Linked DNA regions of Coturnix japonica. The protein of the gene in region 1 purifies or fractionates together with the protein of each later gene. This does not show direct contact. Links are inferred from orthologs where the notes say so. Each region holds a gene or a part of one and is shown in the gene's direction. Other genes may lie near its edges. The genes, in order: VAPA, STK3, RAB3GAP2, PITPNM1, VCP, TACC1 and ACBD5.

Region 1 (3,648 bases):
AATGGATATTTCTGCTCTAGGTTCTTTTTCATTGCTGTAAAACAACTAGCAGTACAGATTCCCGTTCATAGGACTCCATAAGTACATAATTCATTTTATCTGAATTACTTGCATTTATCTTAGTTTTACATGAAGATGCGCTAAACTTGAGTTTAATTTCAGTGAGACTCAAGTTTAAGTGCATTGTCAAATAATCTATCTTTACAGATCGCTCTGGGTCATCATCCTCTGGTAGAAAGCTGGAAGTTCTTAAAGTTCTTATTGTCTAGACCCCTGTCTGGATTGAGACTAATTGTCTTTCATGGTCTGCTCAGTGGAGGCAGACTGTGCTGGTCATCTATTCATCCTTATACTTCAGTAGTCCTACAGTGTTACTATGACAAACCTGGTATGCTCAGATATTCCTTATACTGTGCCCATTACTCCTATAGATAGGCAACTACATCCTATAATGTTCTGGTCTAATTTAGAGACATGATTTTCAGTCACTTTGAACTAAAGAAACCACAAAAATAATGACACCAGGGTGACCTGGCTTCCCCTCTGGGCTGTTTTCTAAACAAAACCACCTTCACTAACAGGAAAGCAGCCTCCTAATGGCTTTGTACAGTTTGGATGGATGAAGATTCTGCACTCCTGTAATTGAAGCATTCCTTTAAAAATACCGTAGTAGTGTAGTAATAATTGAGATTATGAATAATATTACGTTGATATTATTTATTTTTCCACTGAAATTGTGCATACTTCAAAATAACAACTTTGAAATGTGAATTTCCCTTCTTGACCAACAGAATTTTCAACTTCAGAAAGCAGTTATTCAGAAATTGTCCTGTCACAAAAATAACCCTTGTATATTCTATCTCTGGTAATTGTAGTACGAACTCTGTATTTTAAGTATTTAATCTTTCACTTGCAGCTGCCTTTACAGAGAGCTTGGTTTTGAATTCCCTCTTTCTCCGCTGGTAATATGTAGAATTCAAATGCATACATGGATTATGAGTACTTTTAGGCAAATGTTAGCTGTTAGGCTGGACATAAGGATAATAATGTCAAAACCTGTATAAAATGTGTTTTCTAGTTATTCTCAACTAATCACTTTATCTTTTAAGAACTGAATTTGAAACTTCTCTACAGTGAACTGTTAAAGGCCTTGACAGCATTACTTCTTTTAATACTTCTGGTTTTAATTAAGTATTTTAGTAGTTGCTCCTAGCTTAGATCAGTATGCCTGTAGAAGTCAGTTGAGCTTCTACTGGTTGGTGGCTAGCCTAATGTAAGTTCTCTTCCCTTTCTCCCTTGGGTAGATGCCATGAAGTTGTTGAACTCATTCCAGAGTTCTTTTACCTTTGCATTCACTCGGTCACAAAGTGTTTATTCCAAGGGAAAATCCTACGGTGTTTATTTGCTCTTTGTCTTACAGGATGTATTTGTTTTTACTTGTATCCTAAATGTCTTCTTGTATAGTAGGTGGAGAAAGAATCTTTAAAGCTACACTGTTAAGGTGTTTCCTCTCATTACTTATTGCTACAGTGTGTATCTACAGTGTTTTCAATGTTCCCTTCACATCTTTACTTTTGGTGTCTGGTCAATGAGAATCTGATGTATAGCTTTTTTCTTTTTTTTTTTAAGAGTGATTTGATCATGTTCTTAAATGTTTTATTTTACTCTTTTGAACAGTAATGCTGCAGCCTTTTGACTATGACCCAAACGAGAAGAGTAAACACAAGTTTATGGTACAAACAATCTATGCACCACCAAATATTTCAGATATGGAGGCAGTGGTAAGTAAAAATTGGATAGTATGACTAGTTTGGATTGTTTCTTTAAAATCAGCCTTAACTTTAAGTGAATCACATTTTGAAATGTTTAGGTTTTAGAAAATTGAATTTCCTCTGAACAAATACCATTTCCATAAGTGATTCAGGGTTTTTAATACTAAATACAAGCTCAGTTCTCAGAATTTGCCTATTGAACTGTTTAAATCAAAGTACTAGTAAATCAGAGGTAAGGTCTGTTCAGTGTTTAGTTACTGTTGTATAGTATCTGGTCTGCAGCTCATTGGGAGGGAATAAATAGGTTGTATTTAAAGGAATCAAGGGTATATGCAAGCGGCAAGCCTGAAGTTGTGTGGAATGGGTACATTTGGACTAAGAAGCGTTTATCTGAAAAGTTGAATGGTATTGTAAGGAACCAAAACATTTGAAGGATTATTCTGCCTCTCTCAAAGACACCAAGTGGCTACATGCAGCTCAAATGATAGATTTATTTTCTTTATTAGTAGAATGAGTTGTGTATTCTGTTTTTGGGTGGGACTGGTCTGATGAAAGATCCAGAAAGAGCATATTTAGTTTTGCGCCTCTTAATTCAGAAGGACAACTTAGAAGCAATTGGAATGCTGTCCTTCAGTTGCAGAACTTGCTCATTAGAGTATACATGGGCTCCCATGAGCTTGTATATATCAGAGTCCAGGGGAATGATGCACAGGCCCCTGTTTCTAAACACTTCCCTGAGTTCACATGGTGATTCATGCAGTTCCATGCTCACTGAAGGCAGAGGAGGAGAAGGTAAACAAAGTGAAGATAAGGTTTATGAATCATTAAAATCCACTAAGCCTCTGCAGGCTTAGGTTCACTTCCCATATGTATGAAGGCAAAGATTATTGTGGTATTTCTCTGAACTGAAAACACTGGAAAAGTTTTTGTTAAGCTTTTGAGGCATGCAGCTACAAAAATAATGTCTCTCCTCTTTGTTGTCTGGTTTACTTATTTTAATATGCTCTGATAGCTCCTGTTTATGTGTGAGAAGTGAAGCATCAAGCATTTGGTGAGAATATAAAAATCCATTTTAGAAATACCTTTCGAATAGTGGCTTTCTCAGTGTGTTGAAGTAAAGAATATCAAGGAACAAATCTGGCAGAAAATCAGTAATAATAGATATGAGTTAGTGTGCAGTTAATGCCAACGATGAAAGAGAACTAAAGAAACTTACTGTGGAGCTAAGTATAGAATCCCTAAAAGTGTCTTTCAGTAATTTATTTAAAGTGGGTGCTTCCAGGATAGAATGTGAGGAACACATGCAATGAGCATTGATAGACCAACTCAGATGGTGCTCTATGTCTGATTGTGTCCTACAGATATCTGGATCTGCCTTGACATTCACTTGACTTGATTCCGTTTTCAGGCTTAAGTTGAGCCATGTCTGGCTTTTAATACTTTTATAGTAGTCAAAGGTGGACAAAAAGTGTTCAAAAGCAAGTCTGAAAATGTCAGCTGGGCAAGGATAGTATTCAGTTTTGTAAGAGTTATAGGGAAGCCGTAATTGCAGGCTTATGAACTGTTCAGATTTGTGTGCGACTGGCTTATTAAATAACTGTGTTACTTGTTTTAGTGGAAAGAAGCAAAACCTGATGAGTTGATGGACTCCAAATTGAGATGCGTGTTTGAAATGCCCAATGAAAATGATAAACTGGTAAGTAAGAAAAGAGTAAAAAAACCAGACAAGTTTCAACTTGTTTGAAACTTTTTCTTAAAGCTGTTTGATTTGTTGGTTAAATGAATCGTTGGAACCTACTAAATTAAATGGGTTGGGTTGTATAACAACGAATGACTGGGTTGTATAACAAGATATGGGGTGAACTACGTTAAATTT
Region 2 (3,648 bases), about 27 Mb from region 1:
TCTGTAAACTGTCCGTCTTTAGGAGTATCTTGAGTTTTTAAGGGTATGGTGCTACACAGAGTGTTTTAGTGTGCAGGTTAGAAATGAAATTTAAGAACTCTGAAATATTTACAAATTATAATGTGGGAAGCTATGATTCTTTTGGTATTTGACAGTTTATTCAAATCTGCTCTGTATCCTGGTTTCAGCGTACTGTGTTGTTAGCTAGATTCTGAATCCAAGTGAGATCTGTTTTTGTGTCTCTGGGCCAAGACATAACAGAACTTGTTGTAGGAGCTGGTCTATTGGTACTCTTACTAAATATGGTTCTCCATACCTACTTTGACTACCCATTTGTGAAACAGGCACTCATACAGTGTAGCTGCTCCTTGCAATTCCATTTGTACAACAGGCAAGTTGTGTGCCATGTCAGGGAATAACAGGAAGGGAAAAGAGCTAGTTCAGTGAGAAATAAAAAGGGCCAGAGCTGGAGAATTGGGTAACTGGGTTTCTTTCTTTCTGCACTCCTTACAGGTTGTTCTGTAGTTAAAATATGAAGCATATTTAGCAAAAGGAAAAATTAGTTTTCGGGTAAAATCTTGTTTTAATGTTCTGTGTAACAACAGGCATGTTACTTGTAATAGGCACATAATAATGTTACCTGATATTTTTATGATATGAGCATACTTTCCTAACCAGAGATATTTTGTATCAGGATGCAATTGAAGTTCATTTACAGTAGAGAGAATGTGTACATACATGACTGTTTTCAGTTGGATTGGGAAGCTTATAAAATCAGTGAACATAGTATTTACATGTAAAATTTCGAAATTTGGCATACAGTGTCTTGACAGCGGTGGGCATTATTTCTTGTTTAGTCAATGAGAGAAGCATTAAAAATGTACTCATGTAGAAAATGCTTGTATGCATTCATGAAGTGCTGTGCTGTTGTGCACATGGTTGAAATCAAACTGCAAAAATGAATGGCATTTCCCAACACTATTTTCAAATATTGATATTCCATATAAAATTAATAATTCATTAACTGGATGGTCATTATTTCTCTGTTTTACATTCCTGGCACATCGATTCAAAATCATAGAATCGCAGAATGGGTTAGAATGGACCCTTAAGATCATGTAGTTCCAACACCCTGTTATAGGCAGGGACACCTCCCTCTAGACCAGGTTGCTCACAGCCCCATCCAGCCTGGCCCTGAATGCTTCCAGAGAGTGGGCACTCACCACCTCACTGAGCAACCTGTTCCAGAGTCTCACCACCCTCACAGTAAAGAATTTCTTCTTAATATCTAGTCAAACTCTACCCTCATCCTGTTTAAAACCATTTCTCCTTGTCTTGTCTCTACATAGCCTTCTAATAGGTCCCTCCCCAGCTTTCCTGTAGGCCCCCTTCAAGTGCTGGAAGGCCACTATAATGTCCCTCCAGAGCCTTCTCTTCTCCAGGCTGAAGAGCCCCAGCTCTCTCAGCCTGTCTCCCTAGGCAAGGTGCTCCAGGCCTCTGATCATCTTCATGGCCCTCCTCTGCACCTGCTCCAACAGCTCCATGTTCCTCTCATGTTGGGTGCCCCAGAACTGGATGCAGTACTCCAAGTGGAGTCTCACAAGAGCAGAGCAGGGGGGCAGAATCACCTCTGTTGACCTGCTGGTCACCCTTCTCTTGATGCAACCCAGGATATGGTTGGCCTTCTGGGCTGCAAGCACACACTGACAGCTCATGTTAAATCTTCCATCAGCCATCACTGCCAGATCCATCTCCTTGGGATTGCTCCTATATTTGTGCTTGGGATTGCTCCTCTTCATGGTGGTCTCTCAAGACAGGTTGTTGTCAAGATACTAGATAAAAAACATATTATTTAGTTAAGGGTGATAGCCTTGGTGTGATGATCTGCTTCAAAACAACCAAACAAAACATGTTACTGATTTTTAGTCCCGGAGAAGTGTACCGAGTCCAGAAGATCAGTGAGATATTCAAAGCTGGGTATAAAAGTGATTGTGTGGGACATGTTTCTGGTAAATCAATAGCGCTATAAAGCTGGCATAGGATGAAGTTTTTTCTTTTACCGTTATAGGTTGCCTTTTATTTTCACATTCTTTTGGTAGTATTAAACCTGTTAGTCTAGCAGTATAGCTAGGTCATGTGAAGAGATTAAAAAACAATGAATAAGCATCTAAATTATTGCATCTTAACTTGGTTTTCTGAAATGCTCTGCTGCATTCTGACCAGTGTTTCTTTTAGGATGAAGATGAGCTGGACTCGCACACCATGGTGAAGACCAATTCAGAGAGTGCTAGTACCATGCGGGCCACAAGCACGATGAGTGAAGGCGCTCAGACAATGATTGAACACAACAGTACCATGCTAGAGTCAGACCTGGGGACCATGGTAATAAATAGCGACGATGACGAAGAGGAAGATGGAACCATGAAAAGTATGTTTTTTGTTTACTTTCCTTTTCTGTTAATAATGCATTGTGTTTTCTCATCTTCTGTGAGAATAGTCTACCATCAGTGTCCTTTAAAAGTCAAGTTCGGTGGTTAAAAGTCAGGGAGAGGGCTGTTTGTTTCTATAAACACACTTTGTTCCTTATTGGAGAAGAGCAGCTATAGTGGGAGATTCAAAGTACTACACTTGGCTTTAGTATTTTGATGAGTCTTTCTGGAGGACTCAAACAGTAGCCTCCTGTGAATTCTCCCTTCTACTACCTGTCACTTGCATTTTGCCTCCTGTCCTGCATCCATTTGAAGCAGCTCCAAGGAGCTATACTCAAATGGTGCGGTTGTGTGGGGAGGTGTTGTTTCAGTGTTAGTGTTCCTGAAAACTCATTGCAACGCACCGTGGATTCAGCAGTAAGTACTGCAGATCTTGCTGCAAAATTATTTTGTAAATTCATGGGCATTTGTTAAAATTTAATTTGCTAATGCATGATTTAAGGGAATGGCCAAAACATATTGAAATAAATTAAGAAGTCAAAATCAACTTCAGTGGTGTGAAAGATTATATAACAAAGGGGGGGGGAAAAGGATTTCAAATGATGAACTTGTCAGTTGGACTGAGATGTGTATAACGTGTTTGTTAGACAGCAAACATACGTGTTTACATTTGATCTGTTTGTTACTTGGCTGAAGACTTCCCACTGATTTTAAGTTAAATCATTAATTTGAAAGGGCAGCATCTATAGGTGATGCTGTAGCTTTAGTGCTTGATTCTATGAGGCACAATTCAATGCTTAACTCCAGGCAACTGTTTAAATAAATTCGTTTTATGATTTATATCAAACAAGATTGCATTTCTGTTTGTGTGCAAAAACCTGCTATAATTTGGTTGAAAAGATTGTTTGGAAGTGTAAATCAGGTGCGTTTTCCTTGTTGTTGAATGTACAGCAAATTGGGAGGAGAGGAAGATGTGATCACTTCTGCTTTTTTTCCCTCTTTGTTATTTTGTTGTTGTTGTTGCCTTGTTTTTTCCTTCAGTGTTTGTAGCAATAAAGCAATCGACTTGTTGATTAGTGTTTAATTTGAGCAGGGTGATTCACCTCATGCAAACAGTGCGCGCTTTAATTTGTTCTTATGCTGACACAGTATTTTACCTATTAAACTGTGAGGGTAATGGAGGGGTAGATCAAGTGATCTTAGACTAACACATTTCAGC
Region 3 (3,648 bases), on another chromosome or scaffold:
GGTTTTAGCCCTCAGATTTTGTTGGTAAGGTATTTATTACACACTTTAAAACTTTCTGGTTAAATGCTGAAATGGGGGGAAAAGAAGATAAAAAAGGAGTGTTTTATTTTTGGACTGTCTTTTCCATGTCCTCATACACAGCTTTTAAGTGCTGAGCTTAAATCTAAGCAACTTAAAAGATGTGAAAGGAGAAAAAAATATAGTAGAAAATGTGAGAATGTCTGAATGGCTCCAGATATTCTTTTAGAATTTTGCATGAGATTTATTTTACAAGGAGAAGCAAAAATAAAGTAGTTAATTGCAGTTACAGAGACGCTGTTTACAAATTCCTTGTTGAAAGCAATGAAATTTAAAAAGGAAAAGAAATCAAAGTAAATCTGTCAGAATCACTTGTGGTGTTGAGACAGTCATCTTTCTTTCATTTGCATGCAGTATTATTTGTTTGCTGCTTTTCTTTCTAATGCTTTCCAATGACTGAAATACATATTTAAATATTAGCTATCTTGTTATGATTTTCAGCTGTAATATTAACTGGGAATTTATTCTTTTTTTACCAAGTTAAGAATGCTCATACACTTGTGTGATCTGTCTGTGCCTTCAGAAGACTATTTGCCAGTGCATCAAATTGAAATATACTGATTGTATTCATAGAATCATAGAATGGCCTGGGTTGAAAAGAATCACAATGATAACCTTGTTTCTACCCCCTGCCATATGCAGGGTCGCCAGCCACCAGACCAGGCTGCCCAGAGTCACATCCAGCCTGGCCTTGAATTGCCTCCCAGATGGGGCATCCACAGCCTCCTTGGGCAACCTGTTCCAGTGTTCCACCACCCTCTGTGTGGAAAAACTTCCTCTTAATATCTAACCTAAACCTCTACTGTAATTGTATTGTTTCCCTTAATGTCTGCAAGATTCTGTCTTGCTCAGTACATTTTTTACTTCCTGTACACAGAACTTGCACAAGGAATTGTTTGCATTAGATATACTGCGTTACCAAAAAGCTTCAATCTGTTGTTTGAATTTTGTGTTTCTTTTTCTAGTCACTCCTTCTGAATTTATGGCTTTCCAAAGAAAAAGATATTCTTGAGAAACCAGACTCTACCAGTTGCCTTCACACTATGCTGACCCTTCTGAGCAAAATGAAAGGTGAAATGTGCATTAGGAACATTTAAACACAATTAATGCCAATTATTGTTGGTAATTTGAGTCTATATTATTTTGAGGTTTTCCTCCTCTTCAAAAAAAAAAAAAAAAAAAAAAAAAAAAAAAAAAAAAGAAAAAAAGGAAAAATAAAAAAAAAAAAAAAAAAGTAACAGGATTCAGTGTTTCATAATGATGATTTCTTTGGCATCTACCTCAAAAATATAGTTGAAGTCTGAGGACTGTTGCAGTTAAAGACATGCTTCATGCCTTGCAGTTTCACTCAGCTCTAAGTGGATGCAGCTAATATTAGGCATCAGAAGGTGGCTCTTCTGATACCTTCCCTCTGTTTCTGAGGTGCATGGATATGCCCCTCTCTCTTGTGCTGCTGGGTGCTCAGAAATCCTTTGAGTTGCATTAACTTGTGTTGAGACCGATGCTGTTGTTATTCTAGCTGTGTTTGTTCATTGAATATCTCTGTAGTTTGAGGGGTGATCTGTAAGGTCAGCTTTCCATTATTTTGGGTAAGTTGTATAATAAACAATCACTGATTCTCTTAGCTCATTGAGAGCTTCTATGGGTATGTTTGTGTCAGGTTCCTTTATGTCCAGTTCACCACAGGGTGTAATTATCAGCTTGCAACTGGTAGCATGAATATGTTATTGCTGTTGTCTGGACAATTTAATTCTGCTGCACGTGGAGAGAGACAGGTTGAGCGTACTGAATGTGTGGGACATCTTAAAATCACATGGAAGCTAGTTGTATTGTGAAGAGTTGTATTATAATATTCCTTAAGTCTAGTAGGTGCAGCAGGATTTGTTGCCTAGTGATTTAATCTGTTGCCTGCTTTCTATGAGTTAAACTTGGAGGAGTAATCCACATTCTTCCCCTAATTTTTAATAGAGTTGTAATCTAAAAATATTACGTATCATAAGAAAAAAAAAAAAAAGTAAAAAAAAAAAAGGTAACTTAGAGTAATTGGAAATGGCTCCTAATGCATGGTGTATCAATAAGTGCTGTTTTCAGGGTTGGTTACTGCTTTTACTAGTTCTAACACCTCATGACCCAAGCTGAGTTTTCTTGCTCTCCTTTTCTCCACAGTTGCCATCGATGAGTCCTGGGACACTCAGTCAGTTTCCCCCTGGTGGCAGCAAATGCGAACAGCTTGTATTCAGTCTGAAAGAAACGCAGCTGCCTTACTGTCTGCTTATGTTGGACATTCAGTTACCGCACAGATAATTGACAGTGTGACAGAGAAAAAGGTCAGTCATTGTGTTCTTCTCCCCTCAGCTGTATTCACTGTGTCTGTTTTAGGCAAACTGCTGTCCTTGTCATAGAGTAACACCTCTAATGTTCTGTTGCCATTCTAACATGGATACAGGCATATCATCCTGCAAGCCTGAAAGTCAGTATTTATATCTGAATAATAACGTGTTGAGGTAAATGAGTGATTTATCAGAAGCGTTTGCTATATGTACTATGTGGGAATTATACTGTGAATTTTTCCCTTGCTGTCAAATAATACTGACAAATCCTGTGCTGTTTTCAGACAAATGGAAGAATTATTTTCATTAAGTAGCACTAAATGTCTGAGTTTTACTGCTCGTCTTGAAAGACTAGATGAGGTTTAGGTGGTGTTTAAACTTGTAAATGGGTTGCTTTATAGGTCGTATCTAGACTGCTGGGAACTGTTGTAGTAATTCTCTCCCTTCATCTTAACTAATCCAATTCTGTATATTGAAATTTCCAGTGTTGCCCAAATAGGAACACTGGTACGTTGTAATGTATTATGCTTTACCCATCCACTTAATATGTTGTGTTAGTTTTCCCAAATAGCTGTAGGTTCAGACACAGAATCCTGGGAAGCACTTTCCCTTGATGCTGAATATTGGAAGCTTCTGCTGAAACAGTTAGAGGACTGTCTGATCCTTCAGACACTGCTGCACAGCAAAGTGAGCAAGAAGACAATAAAAGTTTCATCTCTACAGAGTGAGCCTTTGGGCAGGCTTTCTGTTAAGAAATTGCTGGAAGGTGGAAAAGGTAAGTTTTTCTCATGGAAGCATGGTTGATTGTCTTTGTTATGCAGTTCTGAGCCTTCCATATCTACTTTATGAAATAGGCTGCACTGGAAATTATTCTGCTGTTAACTTTTCTTAGCTTAAAAACAAAGCAAACCATGTATCAAAATGATAAAAGGTATTACTGTAAAGACTGGATTGTAAACTTCAAGTCAGTTGGTTAATGCGTTTTGGATTGGTAATGTTAAATTTATATAATTAACAGTATTAGTTAATAGCCATTTCTTTTCTGTTGTCCTTCAGTTTTGAACTTTAAATCTTCTGGGATGTACCCTGAGTGTATTTCAATACTTCTTTGTTGTTTTACTGTCCCAGGAGGTATTGCTGACACTGTAGCAAAGTGGGTTTTTAAGCAAGGCTTCAATCCTCTTGTACTGAATTTGGCGCAGCACAGGAACAATACAGACAATACTGAAGAATCTGAAGA
Region 4 (4,265 bases), on another chromosome or scaffold:
CCGGTTCGCAATGAAGCTGTGTGCCGCCGGGTGCCGTGTGCCCGTCCGTTGAGTGCCGGGGGAGGCCTCTGGCCCTCGCTGTGGGGGTGGGGGTGATGGGGGGGTGCAGGACGCCGCTGGTCTCCATGGTGATGGGAGCCCGGCGCGCCATGTTTGCGTATCGGCGGCGTGCGCCTCGTGACGTCATCACCGCGCTCCCCCGACAGCGCAGGCCGGCTCCCTTCGTGCCGTCGACCAATCGGCGCCGCCGGGTCGCTCCGTCTGACCAATCAGCGGGAGGTTGTGGGGGGGGGTCGCCCCGCTCGCTTCCGTCTCCTGCACACGGCGGGCGCCGCTCGGCCCGGAGCGCTGCGGGATGTCCTACAAACCCATCGCGCCCGCACCCAGCGCCAGCCCCGCCCCGGGGCCCGCAGCCACGGCCGCCGGTGAGAGGAGCCCCGGGGATAGAGCGGGGGTGGGGGGAGAAGAGGGCGTAAGGAGGGGCACGAGGCCTGAGGGGCGGCGGGGCCTAAGGGAGAGGGACGGAGAGTGCGGAGGGGAGTCGGGGCTGAGGGAGGGAGCGGACGGAGCTGGGCCCGAGCGGGGCCGGGCTGAGGGGTGACGGGCCCGGCCCCAGTGCGAAGGAAGGGCCGGACCCGGGGTCGCTCCCCGCAGCTCCCAGCGTCCCTTCGCCGTCCGCCTTCCGCCCGCTCTTCAACGACTTCGGGCCGCCGTCCATGGGCTACGTGCAGGTGAGCCCGCGGGGCAGGGGCACGCGGCGGGAGGGCGGCGTGGGGCGACGCTGAGCCCCCCCCCCTCCGTCCTCCTCGCCTTCCATCCCCTGTCAGACCATGAAGCCGCCCGGCGCTCCGGGCTCGCAGAGCACCTACAGCGACCTGCTGTCTGTCATCGAGGAGATGGGCAGGGAGATCCGGCCCACCTACGCCGGCAGCAAGAGCGCCATGGAGCGGCTCAAGCGGGGTAACGAGCCCGGGGGGCGACCCTCTGTGACCCTCCCCCCCCCTTAAGCCCGGAGCTCAGTGCTCACTCATATCCCCCCCATTCAGGGATCATCCACGCTCGGGCGCTGGTTCGGGAGTGCTTGGCCGAGACAGAGCGCAACGCCCGCACGTGACAGCAGCCCCCCGACCCCCCCCCCCCCCCCGAGCCCCGCCGGTGGCTCCCCCCGAACGGGGCCACCCCCGGGGCTCCCCCCGCCCCAACCTTCCGGCTTTTATAAATAAAGGACGTGCTGCATCCCCCCCCTTATAAAGGAAATCCTCCTTCCAAGCCCCCAATTCCCCATATATACCGCTCCGTTTTAATTTCCCGGTCCGCCGCCCCCCCGCTTCTGACGTCCCCTCTGACGTCACGCCCCCCCCCACGCTGTTCCACCTCCTGACGTCAGCGGGCGCCCCCCACGCCGTGACGTCACACAGCGCGGGGCCGGCTCAGAGCGGCGCAGGTTCGGAAGGGGCCGAGCGCAGCCGAAGGGAACCGAAAGGAGCCGAAGGGTGACGGAAACAGCCGAAGGGAGCCGAGAGCGCGGCCGAGCGGGCGGGGGGCGCGTTGCTATGGCAGTGGGGAGGGCCCGGCCGAAGCGGGCCGGGCCGGGGCCGGGTTAACGGCGGAGGGCCGCGGAGCCCCCCCCACCCCTCGCCCCTTCCCCTAAACACGGCGCCATGCTGATCAAGGAGTACCACATCCTGCTGCCCATGAGCCTGGAGGAGTACCAGGTAGCGCAGCTCTACATGATCCAGGTGCGGATGGGGCCTGGGCTGCGGCCCGGGGGGGGGGGTCGTGTGGGGCCCGGGATCGTGTGGAGCCGTGGGGGGGTGCAGGAATGTGGGGCTTAGGGTGGAGGTCAGCGGGTTCGAGGCTGAGGGATATGGGGGTCAATGTGGAGCTTGGGGGGTTGAGGATGGTCTGGGGGATGGAGGCGTCTCTTATGGAGTCTGGGGGAGTGCAGGAGGATGAGGCAGAAAGTGAGGGTTAGGGCTGAGCTGGGGCTATGGGGAGCTATGGAATTATGGGGCTGAGAGAGAGGGGGTTGGGGTGATTCAGAGCTGGAGGGGGCTGTTTCTGGGTAGTATGGAGCTTGGGGGTTGTATGCGGTCCTGGGAGTTGTGTGGGAGCCCAGGGCTGAGGGTGGAGATTTGGGGCTGAGAGGTATGGGGTGAGAAGGGGTTGAGGGTGGGGGTCAGCGTGTTGCGGGATTGGAGATCTGAAGTGGTGGGGGTTAAGAGTAATAGGGATACGAGGGCAATATGGAGCCTGAGGGGTGCAGGGATGCAGGGTTGGGGGCTGAGGAGGGTGCGGGGTTGGGGGCTTGGAGTTGTTGTGGAAATAGAATGTGGAGGCATGGGGCTGAGCCTGTTTCTCAGAGTGCAGAGTGGGGGTCTTGGGAATAGCTATGGGGCTGAGGTGGGGGTGCAGGGTGAGGAATGGGGTGTGGGGGGGTGGCGTTAGATGCCTGGTAAGATGCCAGGGTTTGGGGTGCTGGAGCTCAGCTCACCCTCACCCTGCAGAAGAAAAGCCGTGAGGAATCCAGCGGCGAGGGCAGCGGGGTGGAGATCCTGGCAAACCGCCCCTACAGCGATGGCCCCGGTGGCAGCGGGCAGTACACCCATAAGATCTACCATGTGGGCTCCCACATACCCAGCTGGTTTCGGTCAATATTGCCCAAGGCAGCTTTGAGAGTCGAAGAGGAATCGTGGAATGCATATCCTTACACCAGGACAAGGTGGGACCCCATAGGAATGTAGGTTTGGGGGCTGTCCGCTGGGCTCAGCCTCATCCCCATGCTTCCTGTAGGTACACCTGTCCCTTTGTGGAGAAGTTCTCCATCGAGATTGAGACGTACTACCGGCCAGATGCCGGCCAGCAGACCAATATCTTCAATCTGAGTGCTGCTGAGAAGAGGCAGAGGATCTTAGGTGCGTGCAGCGGGGGCAGGAGGCAGGATCTGGGGCTTTCTCTGCTAACCTTGTGCTTTAGGGACAGGTTAAGTTATCCTTGGAGGGGAAAGTGCCCGTACCCTGAGCTCCCTGCCCAGTCCTGAGGATCAGCTGGAGGCAGGGAGCTAAGGAATTGTGTCCCCATTTTGTCTTCTGCTTCTCCTGCCCCCCAGGACTCTGCACAGTGTCGTTCCCGTTCCCAGCCCCCCTATGCTGGGTACCTGGGGCAGACTGTTCCCCCCAGGGACACGTTTGTCCCCCTGTTGCTGCCTGTTCCCATTCCTGGCAGTGTCGACACGGTTGTTTTGGGCGCTGGAGCGCAGCGCGTCATGCTCTCCTCCTAAAATGGAGGCCTAAAATAGGCACTCGGAGGAAATGATTCATCTGACCTATTTCTCTCATTGGCTCTCACAGCATTGGGGATGTCCGGCTGGGATGCTGGTGGCACGGCCAAGGCGGAAGACAAATTTTGTCCCTGCTGCCATGACCAGCAGGCAGTGAGCAGAGTTCTGAGCTGCCTTGTTTGGCCTTGTCCTCTGCATCCCACCCCCACCCCCCCGTGCCCCTGGGGTCACTGCTGTCGTTCTCCAGCTGCCAAATCCCCATGCTAATGCGCCTATGTGTGTCAGCCCAGCTCTTAGCCTCACCACCCCCCCGCCTCCACCTCTTGCTGCTGCTCCTTGAGGCAGCGGTTCTGGCCCCCGTGTAAGCACAGAGGCTCAAGGAGACAGAGGGGTGTCCCACCTTGAGCACACAATGTGTGGTAATGATTTGCTGCCAGGCTTTTTCCTCACCTTTTTCTCCTTCTACCCCAGACACCATTGACATTGTGCGTGATCCCATCTCCCCTGGGGAGTATAAACCTGAGGAGGACCCCAAACTCTACCGCTCAGCCAAGACAGGCCGGGGCCCGCTGGGGGATAACTGGTTGGAGGCAGCCAGCAGCGGGCCGCTGATGTGTGCCTATAAGCTGTGCAAGGTCGAGTTCAGATACTGGGGGATGCAGTCAAAAATCGAGCGTTTTATCCATGATGTTGGTGAGCGTGGGGCGATGGCGGTGAGCCCAAGCCCTGTGGGGATGGTGGGTTTTTGGTAGGTGGGGGCCGTGCCTTGCTCACTCCCCCTGCTTCAGGCTTGCGCAAAGTCATGCTGCGTGCACACCGCCAGGCTTGGTGCTGGCAGGATGAGTGGACTGACCTGACCATGGAGGACATCCGGCAGCTGGAGGAGGAGACGGCGCGGATGCTGGCGCAGAAAATGGCCAAGTGTGGTGAGGCTGAGGAGCCCTCCACCGCCGGGCCCTGCCCTGAGGGGCGGCCAGAGCCAGGA
Region 5 (3,390 bases), on another chromosome or scaffold:
CCAAGCAGCCCCTTGTGTGCTCTTCTTTGATGAGCTGGACTCCATTGCAAAGGCTCGAGGTGGGAATATTGGAGATGGTGGTGGTGCTGCAGATCGTGTTATCAACCAGATCCTGACAGAGATGGATGGCATGTCCACCAAGAAGAACGTCTTCATCATTGGTGCTACCAACAGGCCAGACATCATTGACCCAGCCATCTTGCGCCCTGGCCGCCTGGATCAACTCATCTACATCCCTCTGCCTGATGAGAAGTCCCGGGTTGCTATTCTTAAAGCCAACCTGAGGAAATCACCAGTTGCTAAGGTAGGATCTGTGCTGATGCTGTATCTGATTTGATTTTGCTATGTGCTGCACATATTTCCAATGATTTGGGGGCAAACAGAGGGTTGGTGGCTGCTACACACAGAGCTTGGAAACCTTCCATTCCTGAAAGATGGAAATGAAGAGGTAGGGATAGGCTTGAGATCTAAAACTAAGTACCAGTGCAGCGAGATAGCAGTGTGTACGCACAGCAGGTCTTTATCACATAGTAGAGTTCTGCCCACGGTGCAGGAATGGGAAATGCCTGTTATGGCAAGATGGAAAGGATTCTTGTACTCTGAAAAAGTAAATGTAGAAAACGGGGGTGGGAAATGAAAATTGAAGAGGAACCACTACAGTTAATTGCTGAACTCTTTCATAGACAAAGTTATATCCCTTGCCTAGGGAGCAGGCAATAATGAACTGATAGAACGTATTAGAGAAAAGCAGATGCAAAGTGAGCACACAAACGTCCTTAGGCCAAGCTTAGCTTTCTGAGTACTGTTGGGAAGGAAAGCTTCAAAGGAGGTTCCAGTGCCACTGTGTCAGTTGAAGGGAGGAGGATGTTCCTCTTTATCTCCCTTTGCCCCATCTCCATTTCCAGTCTGAAACGGTTCCATTGATTTCTTTTGCTGAGATCTGAACCAATTGTGGCTGAAATCCTCAAGTCAGCCTACCTCTTACTGAAGGTGGAACAGAGGGGGGACATTTGTAGCCACGTATCAGGTTCTTGCTGGGTGTGGGGGGAAGCACGGCCTGCCCTACTGTGTAGCATACTTCTACCAGGAACAGGAGCCTTAACAGCTTGCCTTCTTCCTACTGGCCAAAGTTGAGGTAGCGCCTTGTTACTGTAAGATCTCAAGGCACCTCTTTGTCATTTGAGAGTACAAAGTGTAAAAGCTTTTCTTGTGTTTTGTTTTTGCCAGGATGTTGACCTGGATTTCCTAGCCAAGATGACCAATGGCTTTTCGGGGGCTGACCTGACAGAAATCTGCCAGCGTGCCTGTAAACTGGCCATCCGAGAGTCCATTGAGAGTGAGATCAGACGAGAACGCGAGAGGCAGACCAACCCTTCTGCCATGGTGAGTGGGGCACTCTGAGCTTTCCCTGCCTACGAGATAGGCAGCCCACCTCTGCCTGTGGGTGAGGGATGATGTGTTTCTCTCAGTAATCCTCAGATGAGGACGAGTAGGCTGTAGGCTCTTGGCACAGAGTGCTGAGCTGGAGCACTTTGTTCTCTTCTTGTGGGAGGGTGAGGGCCTCCTATGGTGCCTCATCACTGGCATTGCTCAGCAGGCCCCTGCAGCAGCTGTGAGTCAGTGTGCTGCAGCATCCCTCTCTAGCCCCTGCCTCAGTGGGTATTGATGCATCCTGACCCCGAGGGAGGTGTGGGCAGGTGTTGAGCTGCACGTGGCTCATCTCAGCTCTCTGTCCTGCTGCAGGAAGTGGAGGAGGACGACCCGGTTCCTGAGATCCGCAGGGATCACTTTGAGGAGGCCATGCGCTTTGCTCGCCGCTCTGTCAGCGACAACGACATCAGGAAATACGAGATGTTTGCACAGACTCTACAGCAGAGCCGCGGCTTTGGCAGCTTCAGGTAACTGAGGGCAGTGGGGAGGGCAGTGTGACGTGGTGAGCCCCAGGAGCAGAGCGCCGAGTGAGGGCAGGATTGGTGTATTCTGAAAACAATCCCTCTTCCACTGCTTTTTCCTGTTCTCCCCAGCACATACAGACAGCTGAGCCTGTGGTGGGTACAAGCTGCACTGCAGGCCAGGTGCAGGTGCTCTGTTAGTGCTCCTGAAGCCCATCAACCCTTTTTCCTTTAAAGCAAGCAACATCTGGCCCCACCATGAGCCTTATCGTGACATGCCATAAGCTTCACATTTCTCCTGATTTTCCTTCTTGGCATCAGGGTGTTGATGTGGAGGGAGGGGATTGTGCTGAGCTGTGAGGATGCTTCTGAACTGCATCTCTTCCCTTCTGCCCTGCTGTGTGCAGGTTCCCATCAGGCAACCAGGGAGGCGCTGGGCCGAGTCAAGGAACAGGAGGTGGCAGCGGGGGCAACGTGTACAGTGAAGACAACGACGATGATCTCTATGGTTAACTCACTGTCCTCAGTGGACCAAACTCCAGATCAGGCCACGTTGTACAGGGAAAATCCAACGTTCAATGGACTCTTGGCTTCTTCATTCCTCAGTCAGAACAGTGTAGGTGCACGCCAGACTTTGTAAAGGGGATGTTTTCTGCAAACACGAATCCAGACCGATGTTGAGTTGTGAAGCAGACAGTGAATTAACAAGAAGGGGATCCGAATTAATTTCTGAGAAATTTCTGTTCTAGTTTATGTGGCAGAATCAGCAGCTTTAGCAAAGGGTGCAACGCTAGCCTGTATTAAAAAAAAAAACACAAAAAACCCTACAAAAATAATAGTAAAAAAAAAGAATAAAATCCCACAAAACTCTAACTGGGCTCTTGCAATTCCTTGATTGTGTTTAGGCTGTCAGAAGCACAGAGTAGCTGTGTGCTCTCTCCGGGGCTTGCAGGATTGGGGTTTTTGCAGAGATGAGTAAATAGGGATTGTGTGCATAGGAATGAGCAATGAGGGTGCCCATAGGTTTGCTGGGCAGTTCCATGGGGATTTGGCTGTAAAGACATTTAGAAGGGCACCATCAGATGACCTGGACTTAAAGGGAAGGAAATGAGGGGTGAGAGGAATCGCAGTGTGGCAGGAAGGATGGGGCTAGCCAGGGGAAAAGGGGAGACTGGAAAAAGGAGCCAAAATTGAGAGCAGTGCTTAAATAGCACAACCAGCAGCTGGTGGCTGCAGGAGGCGGCGGTGGGAGCCCCTGGGAGGCAGAGCCTGCTCGGGTGTTCTGTCCTAGTTCAGAGACCCGTCCCAGCGCTGTGCCTGTGTGTCCTTGCACCACCTGGGTTGGATGCCATCAGGGCAGCACTGCCAGCTCGGCCGGGTTCTTCCATCGCTCCCACGGCCAGCAGCTCCGTGTCGTGGCCCTGTAGCCCACAGCTGGGCTCCAGGCTCGAGCTGTGTGTCTCGGAGCCCTCCGATGGCCGAGGCGCTGCTTTGCAGC
Region 6 (4,147 bases), on another chromosome or scaffold:
GGTGCTGGGACGGATCTGTGCTGGAAAGGTAGGAAAAAGAAGGGAGCTGAGGGCTGAGTGCTTGGCAGAAGGATGGAGGGAGGAGGAAGCAGGGAACGAGGTGTCCCCGGGCAGCCTTGGTGCGGAGATGGTCACAGAATGATGGTCCCCAGCAGCCCCTTGTGGCAGCTCGCCCTGCTGCCCGCTCTCGTGGTGCTCCCACGTTCTCTGCATGCGCTCAGTGTTGTGGCTCTGTTTACGTTGCTAAGGAGGAGCTGTGTGAGCACCCTGGGATGCTGCGTGCCGGCGTGGGCACATCGGGCTTCGTGTTGCACGTCAAACTGGGTGATGAGTTGCTGCTGTGGGAGCCTCACTGATGCTCTCTGTGCTCTCAGACCTGAGAAAACGGCAGCAGGAGGAGGGTTTGGGCACAGAGTCCCTGCATCAGGGCTGCTGAAGTGGTAACCCACCAGTCAGGCAACTTACAGCCCAGTGCTGCAGCTCTGGGTGGGTTTGGGGCAGTGCTGTTTGGATGGAAGGCTCCATTGAAGTATTTAAACACAGCCATGTGACAGCCACAGCTTTGAGTCACCGTCCTCGGAAACCCCAATGGAATTCTGCCCTGGGGTGGCAGCGAGGGCTTGCAGTGCCTCCTTCCCAGGAACATGGAAATTTCCATGGGATTGGCCTAAAGCTGATTATTCCCATCTGCTGCCCCTCAGTCAGCAGCCAACCAACAGAGCCGAGCACACAGTGTGGGGCACATCACCCGCTACGGGGACAAGATGTGCTGTGCATCACGATGGGCCCACGGGGCCCTGGTGCCTTCCTGCAACCCAAGCACGCCAGCATCAGGCTGGTCAGGAGACTTTGTTTTCATCCAAGGAAGGTTTTCTTTATAGCTTTCTTTTTTTAGGAAGGTGAAATCTTGCAACGGTGTCAACACTTTTCTAGCTGAAAAATAGCACAACCCAAACCAGAGCACTAAGGGAAAAAAAGGAAAGGTTGAATATGTGAGTTTTTCTCAGGGCTCCGTGGGCGTTGGATGCTCAGGTTGTGGGTGCGACCTGACGGTGCTGTGCTGAGGCTGCGGGTCCAGCAGTGCTGCCCTGGGTTGTCAGCTTGGAGCGCGGCTTTGAGTGCCGAGGGTAGATCGGAAAAGCAGCTCGTGGCTGCACGGAAAGAAAAAGGAGTCAGACAGACAGGCAGGAGCCGTTCCCTCTCGGTACAAACTCGTGGGGCAGATTCCCATCGGCGCCGGGTCGGATGCCGCCGCTCCGGGTCCGCCTGCGGTGCGGTGCCGAGCAGAGCCGTGCCGTCCACTCCCCCGCGGAGGCGGGGACGCCGTCGGGGCCGGCACAGCGCAGCGGTAGCTCGGTCCGGCCCGGCCCGGTGCTGCCCCACACGACCCGGAGCTGCGGTCCCGCTATGGGGGCGGCTCAAAGCCAGAAACAGCGGGACGGCTCCGCCGAGCGCCGGTGAGTGCGGGACCGGGGGAGAGAGAGAACCAGACCGGGGCTGATCCCGGTGCTGGGGATGCCACTGCAGTGCTAAGGGGTAGAGTTTGGTTTGGAAACTGCAGAGCAGGAGGAAAGTGAGAATGGAGTGAGTGAGTGAAAAGCTTTCCTTTCCCTTCCCTCTTGTCTCCCTGCTTTCAGTGTTCCTGACAAAACAGGCTGTTTCCCGTTTGTTGTCAGCACACTGAGTTTCTCGGGCTGCAGCTCACCCCTGCATTGCATGGCATAAATCACAACGCGAGGAGCCAGGAGTGCAGTTAAGAAAACAAGGTGTGGGGTTTGGAGCTGGAAGCTGGGCTGTAACCGGGAGTGCTGTGAATTACCGACGGAGTTTGGGAGCTGGGAACAAAAGAAAAGCACGCTGAATTGTGATCAAAAGGCAAACCGGGGAGGCTTATCTTAAAATCAGCCCGAACACTTAATGGAACACAGGAATGTTTGCTCCCACTGAGCCGCCCCGTGGTGCAGAAATAACTGCTCTCGGGAGGTTTGCTGCTGTTCTGCTCAGCTGGAAGGCTCTGGGGGACCTGGAGGGTCCGCAGTGCTGCAGGTGAGCGGGGAGCACCTGCCCTGCTTTGCTTTGCTCCGGAGCTGTGCTGGGCTGTATGGAGCAGGTGCCCTCTGCTGCTCCTCTGAATGTTTGCAAACATTCCTCTGTGAACAGAGGGAAAACAACTGCAACAGGGAAAAACAGGAATGTTCTGTCCTCTGCTGCTCCGCAGCCCTGCCTGTTATTTCCTTGTATAGTTCTACTAAGTTAGAGGTGTTCCCAGGCAGAAAAACCCAAGGCATTGTTCCAGGGCTGCACTGGAGCAGCGCTGGGATGCTGCAGGGCAGCTGTGCTCCGTGCATGGACAGCAATGTGGAGATGCTGCCCGTGTTTCACAATATCTCCAAGTCTGAACTAAAATCCAGCAGCCTGACAACCCCCTGATAAGAGCATTCTTGCCACATAGCAGGGATATTTTTAGCAAAGGAGTGGATAGGGTGGATAGGACAAAGCCAGGAGGTGAAGGAAGGTGCTCGTGTTCATACAGCATCGGTCAGAAATCACAAGTGAAACTCACACATTTCAGGGCTGTTTCTATTGAATTGTTTTGCATGAGCTCATGTCCACACGACTGGGATCAGTGAGATGAAGCCCTGCACATTGTTTGCAAAGCGCAGGACAAGCAGCGTGCTCCTTTTCGCATCGCTCCTTTTGAAAGCAGCCATAAATGCTTGCACTCATTGGCCTGACAGCTGCGTGGTGGGGAAGGACAGCTGGAGCTGGGGGGCTGCTGGTGCTGTCAGGCTCATATGTGACAGTTGTGTCCTTCACTGCTATTTTTACACAGCTATTTTGGTGGAATGTGGAACGATGGGAACTGTCACAGGGATGGAAACCTGGGGCTGCTGCACCCTGGTTGCTCTTTTTCCCTCCCTCTGCGTTTTCCCAGGGCCCTTTCTGACTTAGGCAGAGTTCTCCTTGGCTGGTCTCCCAGCCCAGGTAGGTGAGCTGCAGATGAGAGTCATCAGCATTGATCTCTTCAGCATCACTGCACAGGTCAGGGAACATATTACAAAACAACATCCTCCCTAGCGTTTGCAGGACAGTCCTTGCTGGGCTATACAAAGCTTTGGGTAGTTTTCCTCATTCCCAAAGTTGGCATTTTCACAAGGTAATGGCCTGTGCTGAGCCCAGGTGGGGTGACAGCAGTGACACAGGCTGTGTGCTCAGTCTGCCCTTCATTCTGCTTGGAGCTGCTGGCAGCTCTGTTTGGAGCAGGTCAGCATCCCCTGCAGAGATGCATCTGCAGGCTGTGCCCGAGCCATAGTGTGACTGATGCAGTCAGGTTATCTCCTCAGCAAATGATTTGCAGCCAGTGCTGCTGCCAGGCTGGGTTGTGCGCCAAGCTGGAAAATGCCACTGGAGGCGATTTCAGTATTGCTCATTGCAGACAGCAGGTGGAAGCAGGCTCTGCTCGTTAGCTGCTCCCAATGAGCATTCATCTCACTGACCCCACTCCTGCTCCTTCCTCTGAGGCTGCTGGGAGTGGGGCCCGCTCTGTGTGTTGGTGCACAATGGAAGGATGCTGCTGATTTCCTCCATTGGATGTTGCTGATTTCCTCCCACATCCCCCGTACAACAAGTGGGTGCTGCTGCAGCAGCAGCATCTGTGCCATGGCTGATGCAGATCCCTGTGGCAGAGGCATCGTGCTCCCACTGCTGCTCCTCTGCCCTTTGCATTTCAGTTTGCTCCGTGGCATCCCTGCAGCTGTGAGCCGCTCTATGGCGCAGCAGTGCTGTCACTCCAGTGGAGTCTTTTGGGTCAGCAGCGATCTGTGAAGTGACTGATGGGAAGGGGAGAGGGAGGAGGAGGAGCTGAGGCTGCAGCCAGCTCTGCTGCAATGTGCTGCGTGCTGCCGTTCACAGGCTGAAGAGGCTCGTTATGTAAAATTCATCCGCAGAAATCAGCCCTGCTGCTTCAGATGGGGGGGAAGTGGCTGCTTGTTTCTGCTCGGCACAAAAGCAGGCAGGAGGATGTTGAGGTTCTGCTGCTTCAGCCTCTTGTTTTTCTGCTGATAAGCTCTGATAAGTGCTGCAGGCCACTCTGCACAGGGCAGAGGTTTGCAGGGCTCAGTGCCCCCAGGTTGCTGTATATGGAGGA
Region 7 (4,198 bases), about 74 Mb from region 1:
TGTACACATAAGGGCAGCTAATGTCATGCTAGTTAATATAATATACAAGCATTTAAATTAAATAGTTGTTTCTGATGTGTTCTCACGGGCTCACCAGCACTCATAATTTGCCTCTCATTTAATATTTCACCCATGTCTCAGAGCATGATGGTACTGATTATTTTGAGTTACTTCATTTTCAAGTGCCTCATTCTGGATTTGCAGTTCTTGCACATCTTCAGTGCAAAGATGGCGGCCTCTGTTTTGCACACAGCCATTAAACAGGTCGTCATTTGCATCTCTTTTAAAGTTCACTTTCAGTGAAAGTCTGGGAATGTTCATTATAAAAACGCAGACTGCGTTTCTCTTAAATCAATTAAATGGCAAATGTAATTACAGATTTTCTCAGGTAAATAGAATTTACACATCATCTGACCTCACAAGAGGGCCTTCGTTTCCATATTACTTTTTTACAGTTAATGCTTTGCACGCTGAAAGAATCCATATTTATACAGAGACCCACTTACCATCAAACTTCCCTTTGATCCATGTTTCTGTCATTCCTGCCTTTGTGGATAGAAAGGAAGATGGGTATTGGTATAAAACACATAATAGCTTTAGAAATCTAGCAGTAGAAATGTAACATCCATGTGGGTGGAGCAGCGATGTTCATAACTCGGGGTTGTCCTTTGCTCAGTGCAGGGAATCCTATCCGAACACCTCTGAAAGTGTAAGCTGCTCTCCAGCAAAGCTCTCCCCGCCCAGCTGGCTGCTGACCTTGTGGAACAAAGTAGCTCAGCAGAGCATGGGCTGATCTGCATTAATTCCCTCTCCGTGGAGCTTTTGCTTTCCCACCAGAGGGCACATACTGTGAGTGTGCAACTGCCTTAAGAAGAATTTAAAATACATTTTATTGTGCACCAGATATAGGAATCAACTGGAATGGCAAGGTTTTGTACTCTGCTCTGTGTGGAGGTGTTATTAATACATCATGAGGCTCACTGGGTAAACCATTCCACTTGCTACAAAATCAGTTTTAGAATACTTCTGTCTGATCTCGTGTGCTGGATGCACAGTGCTTTGCAGGAAGGGCATTTCTTTAGCTATGAGGTGGCTCATCGTATTGCGAGAGCACTCATTCCGAACACCACAGCAGGAGCTATTTCTATGGTTCTAGGCTTCAAAAAATTAAGGAATGGGATTTTAAATGTAAGTAATTGAGATCGTTCACGCACATCCCGCAGCTGGAGGCGGCAGCAGACGGACAGGCCGCGGGGTGAGGCCTCTGCCGGCGGCTCGGAACCAGCCGAGCGCCACACACCGGGCCACAGAGCCGGGCGGCGGCGGACTACGTTTCCCAGCCAGCCCCGGATGGCCCCGGGGCGGTGCGATGGGAGGGGAAGGGCGCTGCTGAGGGAGACATAACATGGGCGCCTAACAACGGGAGAAGGTAGGGGTGGTTTGTTGGCCGTGCTGGGGGCTGTGGGGGTCGCGCTCGCTCTGCAGGCGAGGCCAGGCCGCAGCTCCGTGTGTTGCACCGCGCCGCAGGGGGAGCGCTGGGAAGCGGGGCGGGCCCGGGCACCCGCTGCCGCCGGGGGGCGGTGGGGTGGCGGCCTGGCGCCTGCTGCCCCTGCCCGTGTTGCGGGCACGGCGGGGGAGGCTGAGCTGGTACCGCTCCGTGACACAGCCCGGCACGGCGGCAGAGCGGTGACGGACGGGACGGGGAGATGGCGGAGACCGGCTCCGTGCACGCCACCCGCTTCGAGGCGGCCGTGAAGGTGATCCAGAGCCTGCCCAAAAATGGTGAGTGCGGCCGGGGGACGGCGGGGGGGGGGGGGGGTGTCCGGCTGGGGTCTGTGCGGCGGAGGGAGCTGGGGGGAGCGGGGCCGTGTCTGAAACGCCAGTTCGGCACCTTCCGAACTCGGAATAGAAGTTCCTCCCGGAGGAGGGGGCTGCGGCTCCGTGCCGGCCGCTGCTCTGTGCGGGGAAAGCGGAGGAAGGGCCTTCCTCAGGTCCTGACTTGGTTTGGGAGCTGATGTCATGGGTTTCTTCTGCTGAAATGTTTAACAAAACAGCGGAGTGAAAAGTCAAAATGTATCCTCTTGGTTACTGTGATAAGTAATGTGGGGTTTGTCTGGAGCTGGGACTAAAGGTCATTGCTGACATCCCTTAATGACAAAAATCCAGAATATTTGTTTTAAAGGGGTAAGTATGAATTTTCTCTGCCAGTTATTGCAGTTTTGTGTTTACATTTCCTACCCCTACAAATGTTTGCTCTGCAAAGGAAGAGGAGAGAAGAAAACATGGAAGAGCGATGAAGTTGTGATTGGAAGTTCCGTCAAATAACAAGTACACAGAAGCAATGCGGGAGGAGTTATTGTTGCTCTACATTCTGGAGTCTTTTGGTAGATCCCTGTTTGCCATATGAAAATGACCTCTGACACACTCATTCCTGGAAGCAGAATCTGCCCCTTTAAACTAAGTGAAAGGAGCCTTGCTCTTTGTTACTTATTACTCCTCTTGCTAATTGTGGATTCTGACGTTAGAAGCAGTAAAGGTTATAGTCCCTTATTTGATCTGCAGCTTGCTACCTGTTTGTAAAGTAAATATTGTCAGCGTGGTGACTCGAGGTAGATGAAGTGAAGATGTTTTTCATTGACTTAAACTGCACTGCTGTGAATGAGGCCAGAATAAACTGCAGGCTGTTTTCTGACAGAAATGCTAGGCTTACAAAATACTTGCTAAAATACTTGATTACACTTTAATTGTATTTTAAAATGCTTTCACTAGGTTCTTTCCAGCCAACAAATGAAATGATGCTGAAGTTCTATAGCTTTTATAAGCAAGCAACACAAGGACCATGTAACATTCCAAGACCTGGATTTTGGGATCCTATTGGTAGATATAAATGGTAACTTTTCATGACTTTTTTTTTCTTCCTATGCTTGGGTGGAGGTGTTAAAAAGAATAATTCTTAAAAGGAATATATTTTTTTTCCATTTTCTTTTAAAATCTCTGATATTCTATTGTTTTTCTTCTTGTGTTTCTCTCTCAGATTTCTTTTTCTGGGGGGGGGGGGTTATAAACCATCGTAATGTTTCCGCAGTGTATATCAGCACTGTAAAACAAAACCAGGCAGTCTGCAGAGTGTGACTGTAGAACAGTGTCTGAAATTCTTCCTTCTTATATAATGTGAGCATGAAGTAAACAGATGCTCACTGAAAGCTTTTGATACAGCTTCAGGCTCTTGGGGTGAAGTCTAGTTTGTGCCTGGTTCATGTGCTCAGTGACAGGACTTGCAGCTGATTGTGTTTTCTTTGACCAATTACAAGCCTTCTGAGCGCTGTGAAGATCTGTTTGAGAACCCGTATGAACTCTCCTCTAATTAAGTTATTTTAATAATTTTTCCTGAAAAGTCGCAATTACTGCTGTCTCTATGGTCAGGGTCTTCTTGGGATCTGTGAATTGGGGGGAAGGTATGTTTGCATGACTGGGGCAGTAAGCTCCCACTCATCTGGCTGTTGGTGGCTGAAATGTGATCCCCCAGCCTTGAGGTTTTGCTGTAAGTGGGACAAGTAGTCTGGCAAAAGGTAAGGATAGTGTCAAAATGAGTGCACTACTGGGTAAGGAAATGCTTTATTTCAGCTTGTGTTCTGGCATTCTTTCTGCAATGCTAAAAAGTTTGATTGACACTTTCCATCTTGCAGAACTGGAAAGGTAGGTATTTTCTAGGTCATGAGTTAAATATGGTGGTAGCTGGGGGCAGCGATTAAATTATTTGCCTATTAGACAGGTGCATCTTTGTTGCTAAACTCATATGCAAAGGACAACACTCTTGTTGTAGCGTATTCTGACATTGACTGACATTGTGACAGATATTTGTAGGTACCAGCTAAGTATTAGGCACTACTTTTTTTTCTGTTGTAGAGGGTCCTAAGTCAGTCAAAAGGGAAGCGTGTGTTTTCCATAATATCTGGACTTGTAAACAACATCACTGGGCACAAGATCATGGTTAATTAGCGAGGAGCTGTTTAGTCCCCAGGCTGTTCATTTTGTTTCTTCTGTGTGTATGTCTCGCTACTTCAGTTATCTGAGTAAATTACAAATTTGGACCTAACAGCAATGGGTAGTTTTAAATTTATTTATTTTTTTAAGTTTTTCTTGTATGAGATAAACTTTTAGCATTGTATAACTGACCTATTTAAGGCCAGGCTAAAAA

Evidence for each region.
Region 2: the proteins of VAPA (region 1) and STK3 purify together in Homo sapiens (affinity purification with mass spectrometry; 4 studies listed by BioGRID and IntAct, counting the BioPlex papers as one, with this or other methods). This does not show direct contact. The link is inferred for Coturnix japonica from reciprocal best matches to the Homo sapiens genes VAPA and STK3.
Region 3: the proteins of VAPA (region 1) and RAB3GAP2 purify together in Homo sapiens (affinity purification with mass spectrometry; 3 studies listed by BioGRID and IntAct, with this or other methods). This does not show direct contact. The link is inferred for Coturnix japonica from reciprocal best matches to the Homo sapiens genes VAPA and RAB3GAP2.
Region 4: the proteins of VAPA (region 1) and PITPNM1 purify together in Homo sapiens (co-immunoprecipitation; 4 studies listed by BioGRID and IntAct, counting the BioPlex papers as one, with this or other methods). This does not show direct contact. The link is inferred for Coturnix japonica from reciprocal best matches to the Homo sapiens genes VAPA and PITPNM1.
Region 5: the proteins of VAPA (region 1) and VCP purify together in Homo sapiens (affinity purification with mass spectrometry; 3 studies listed by BioGRID, with this or other methods). This does not show direct contact. The link is inferred for Coturnix japonica from reciprocal best matches to the Homo sapiens genes VAPA and VCP.
Region 6: the proteins of VAPA (region 1) and TACC1 purify together in Homo sapiens (co-immunoprecipitation; 4 studies listed by BioGRID and IntAct, counting the BioPlex papers as one, with this or other methods). This does not show direct contact. The link is inferred for Coturnix japonica from reciprocal best matches to the Homo sapiens genes VAPA and TACC1.
Region 7: the proteins of VAPA (region 1) and ACBD5 purify together in Homo sapiens (co-immunoprecipitation; 4 studies listed by BioGRID and IntAct, counting the BioPlex papers as one, with this or other methods). This does not show direct contact. The link is inferred for Coturnix japonica from reciprocal best matches to the Homo sapiens genes VAPA and ACBD5.

The regions. Positions count from the first base shown.
Region 1 is NC_029517.1:88,627,515-88,631,162, reverse strand, and holds part of VAPA (vesicle-associated membrane protein-associated protein A), read left to right. Parts: intron 1-1,677; coding exon 1,678-1,781; intron 1,782-3,387; coding exon 3,388-3,468; intron 3,469-3,648. UniProt on the Homo sapiens protein: Endoplasmic reticulum (ER)-anchored protein that mediates the formation of contact sites between the ER and endosomes via interaction with FFAT motif-containing proteins such as STARD3 or WDR44.
Region 2 is NC_029517.1:115,653,819-115,657,466, reverse strand, and holds part of STK3 (serine/threonine-protein kinase 3), read left to right. Parts: intron 1-2,235; coding exon 2,236-2,428; intron 2,429-3,648. UniProt on the Homo sapiens protein: Stress-activated, pro-apoptotic kinase which, following caspase-cleavage, enters the nucleus and induces chromatin condensation followed by internucleosomal DNA fragmentation.
Region 3 is NC_029518.1:16,350,843-16,354,490, forward strand, and holds part of RAB3GAP2 (rab3 GTPase-activating protein non-catalytic subunit), read left to right. Parts: coding exon 1-24; intron 25-1,043; coding exon 1,044-1,149; intron 1,150-2,244; coding exon 2,245-2,405; intron 2,406-2,966; coding exon 2,967-3,183; intron 3,184-3,536; coding exon 3,537-3,648. UniProt on the Homo sapiens protein: Regulatory subunit of the Rab3 GTPase-activating (Rab3GAP) complex composed of RAB3GAP1 and RAB3GAP2, which has GTPase-activating protein (GAP) activity towards various Rab3 subfamily members (RAB3A, RAB3B, RAB3C and RAB3D), RAB5A and RAB43, and guanine nucleotide exchange factor (GEF) activity towards RAB18.
Region 4 is NC_029520.1:567,545-571,809, forward strand, and holds the start of PITPNM1 (membrane-associated phosphatidylinositol transfer protein 1), read left to right. Parts: upstream 1-1,401; 5' UTR 1,402-1,661; coding exon 1,662-1,739; intron 1,740-2,507; coding exon 2,508-2,722; intron 2,723-2,793; coding exon 2,794-2,915; intron 2,916-3,751; coding exon 3,752-3,973; intron 3,974-4,068; coding exon 4,069-4,265. Other genes in the region: CDK2AP2 (cyclin-dependent kinase 2-associated protein 2), read left to right, coding at 356-425, 655-731, 828-960, 1,047-1,114. UniProt on the Homo sapiens protein: Catalyzes the transfer of phosphatidylinositol (PI) between membranes. Binds PI, phosphatidylcholine (PC) and phosphatidic acid (PA) with the binding affinity order of PI > PA > PC. Regulates RHOA activity, and plays a role in cytoskeleton remodeling.
Region 5 is NC_029547.1:7,814,783-7,818,172, reverse strand, and holds the end of VCP (transitional endoplasmic reticulum ATPase), read left to right. Parts: coding exon 1-304; intron 305-1,227; coding exon 1,228-1,383; intron 1,384-1,743; coding exon 1,744-1,898; intron 1,899-2,299; coding exon 2,300-2,405; 3' UTR 2,406-2,765; downstream 2,766-3,390. UniProt on the Homo sapiens protein: Necessary for the fragmentation of Golgi stacks during mitosis and for their reassembly after mitosis. Involved in the formation of the transitional endoplasmic reticulum (tER).
Region 6 is NC_029537.1:3,755,253-3,759,399, forward strand, and holds the start of TACC1 (transforming acidic coiled-coil-containing protein 1), read left to right. Parts: upstream 1-1,230; 5' UTR 1,231-1,245; coding exon 1,246-1,457; intron 1,458-4,147. UniProt on the Homo sapiens protein: Involved in transcription regulation induced by nuclear receptors, including in T3 thyroid hormone and all-trans retinoic acid pathways. Might promote the nuclear localization of the receptors.
Region 7 is NC_029517.1:14,463,814-14,468,011, reverse strand, and holds the start of ACBD5 (acyl-CoA-binding domain-containing protein 5), read left to right. Parts: upstream 1-1,294; 5' UTR 1,295-1,429; intron 1,430-1,666; 5' UTR 1,667-1,706; coding exon 1,707-1,782; intron 1,783-2,769; coding exon 2,770-2,890; intron 2,891-4,198. UniProt on the Homo sapiens protein: Acyl-CoA binding protein which acts as the peroxisome receptor for pexophagy but is dispensable for aggrephagy and nonselective autophagy. Binds medium- and long-chain acyl-CoA esters.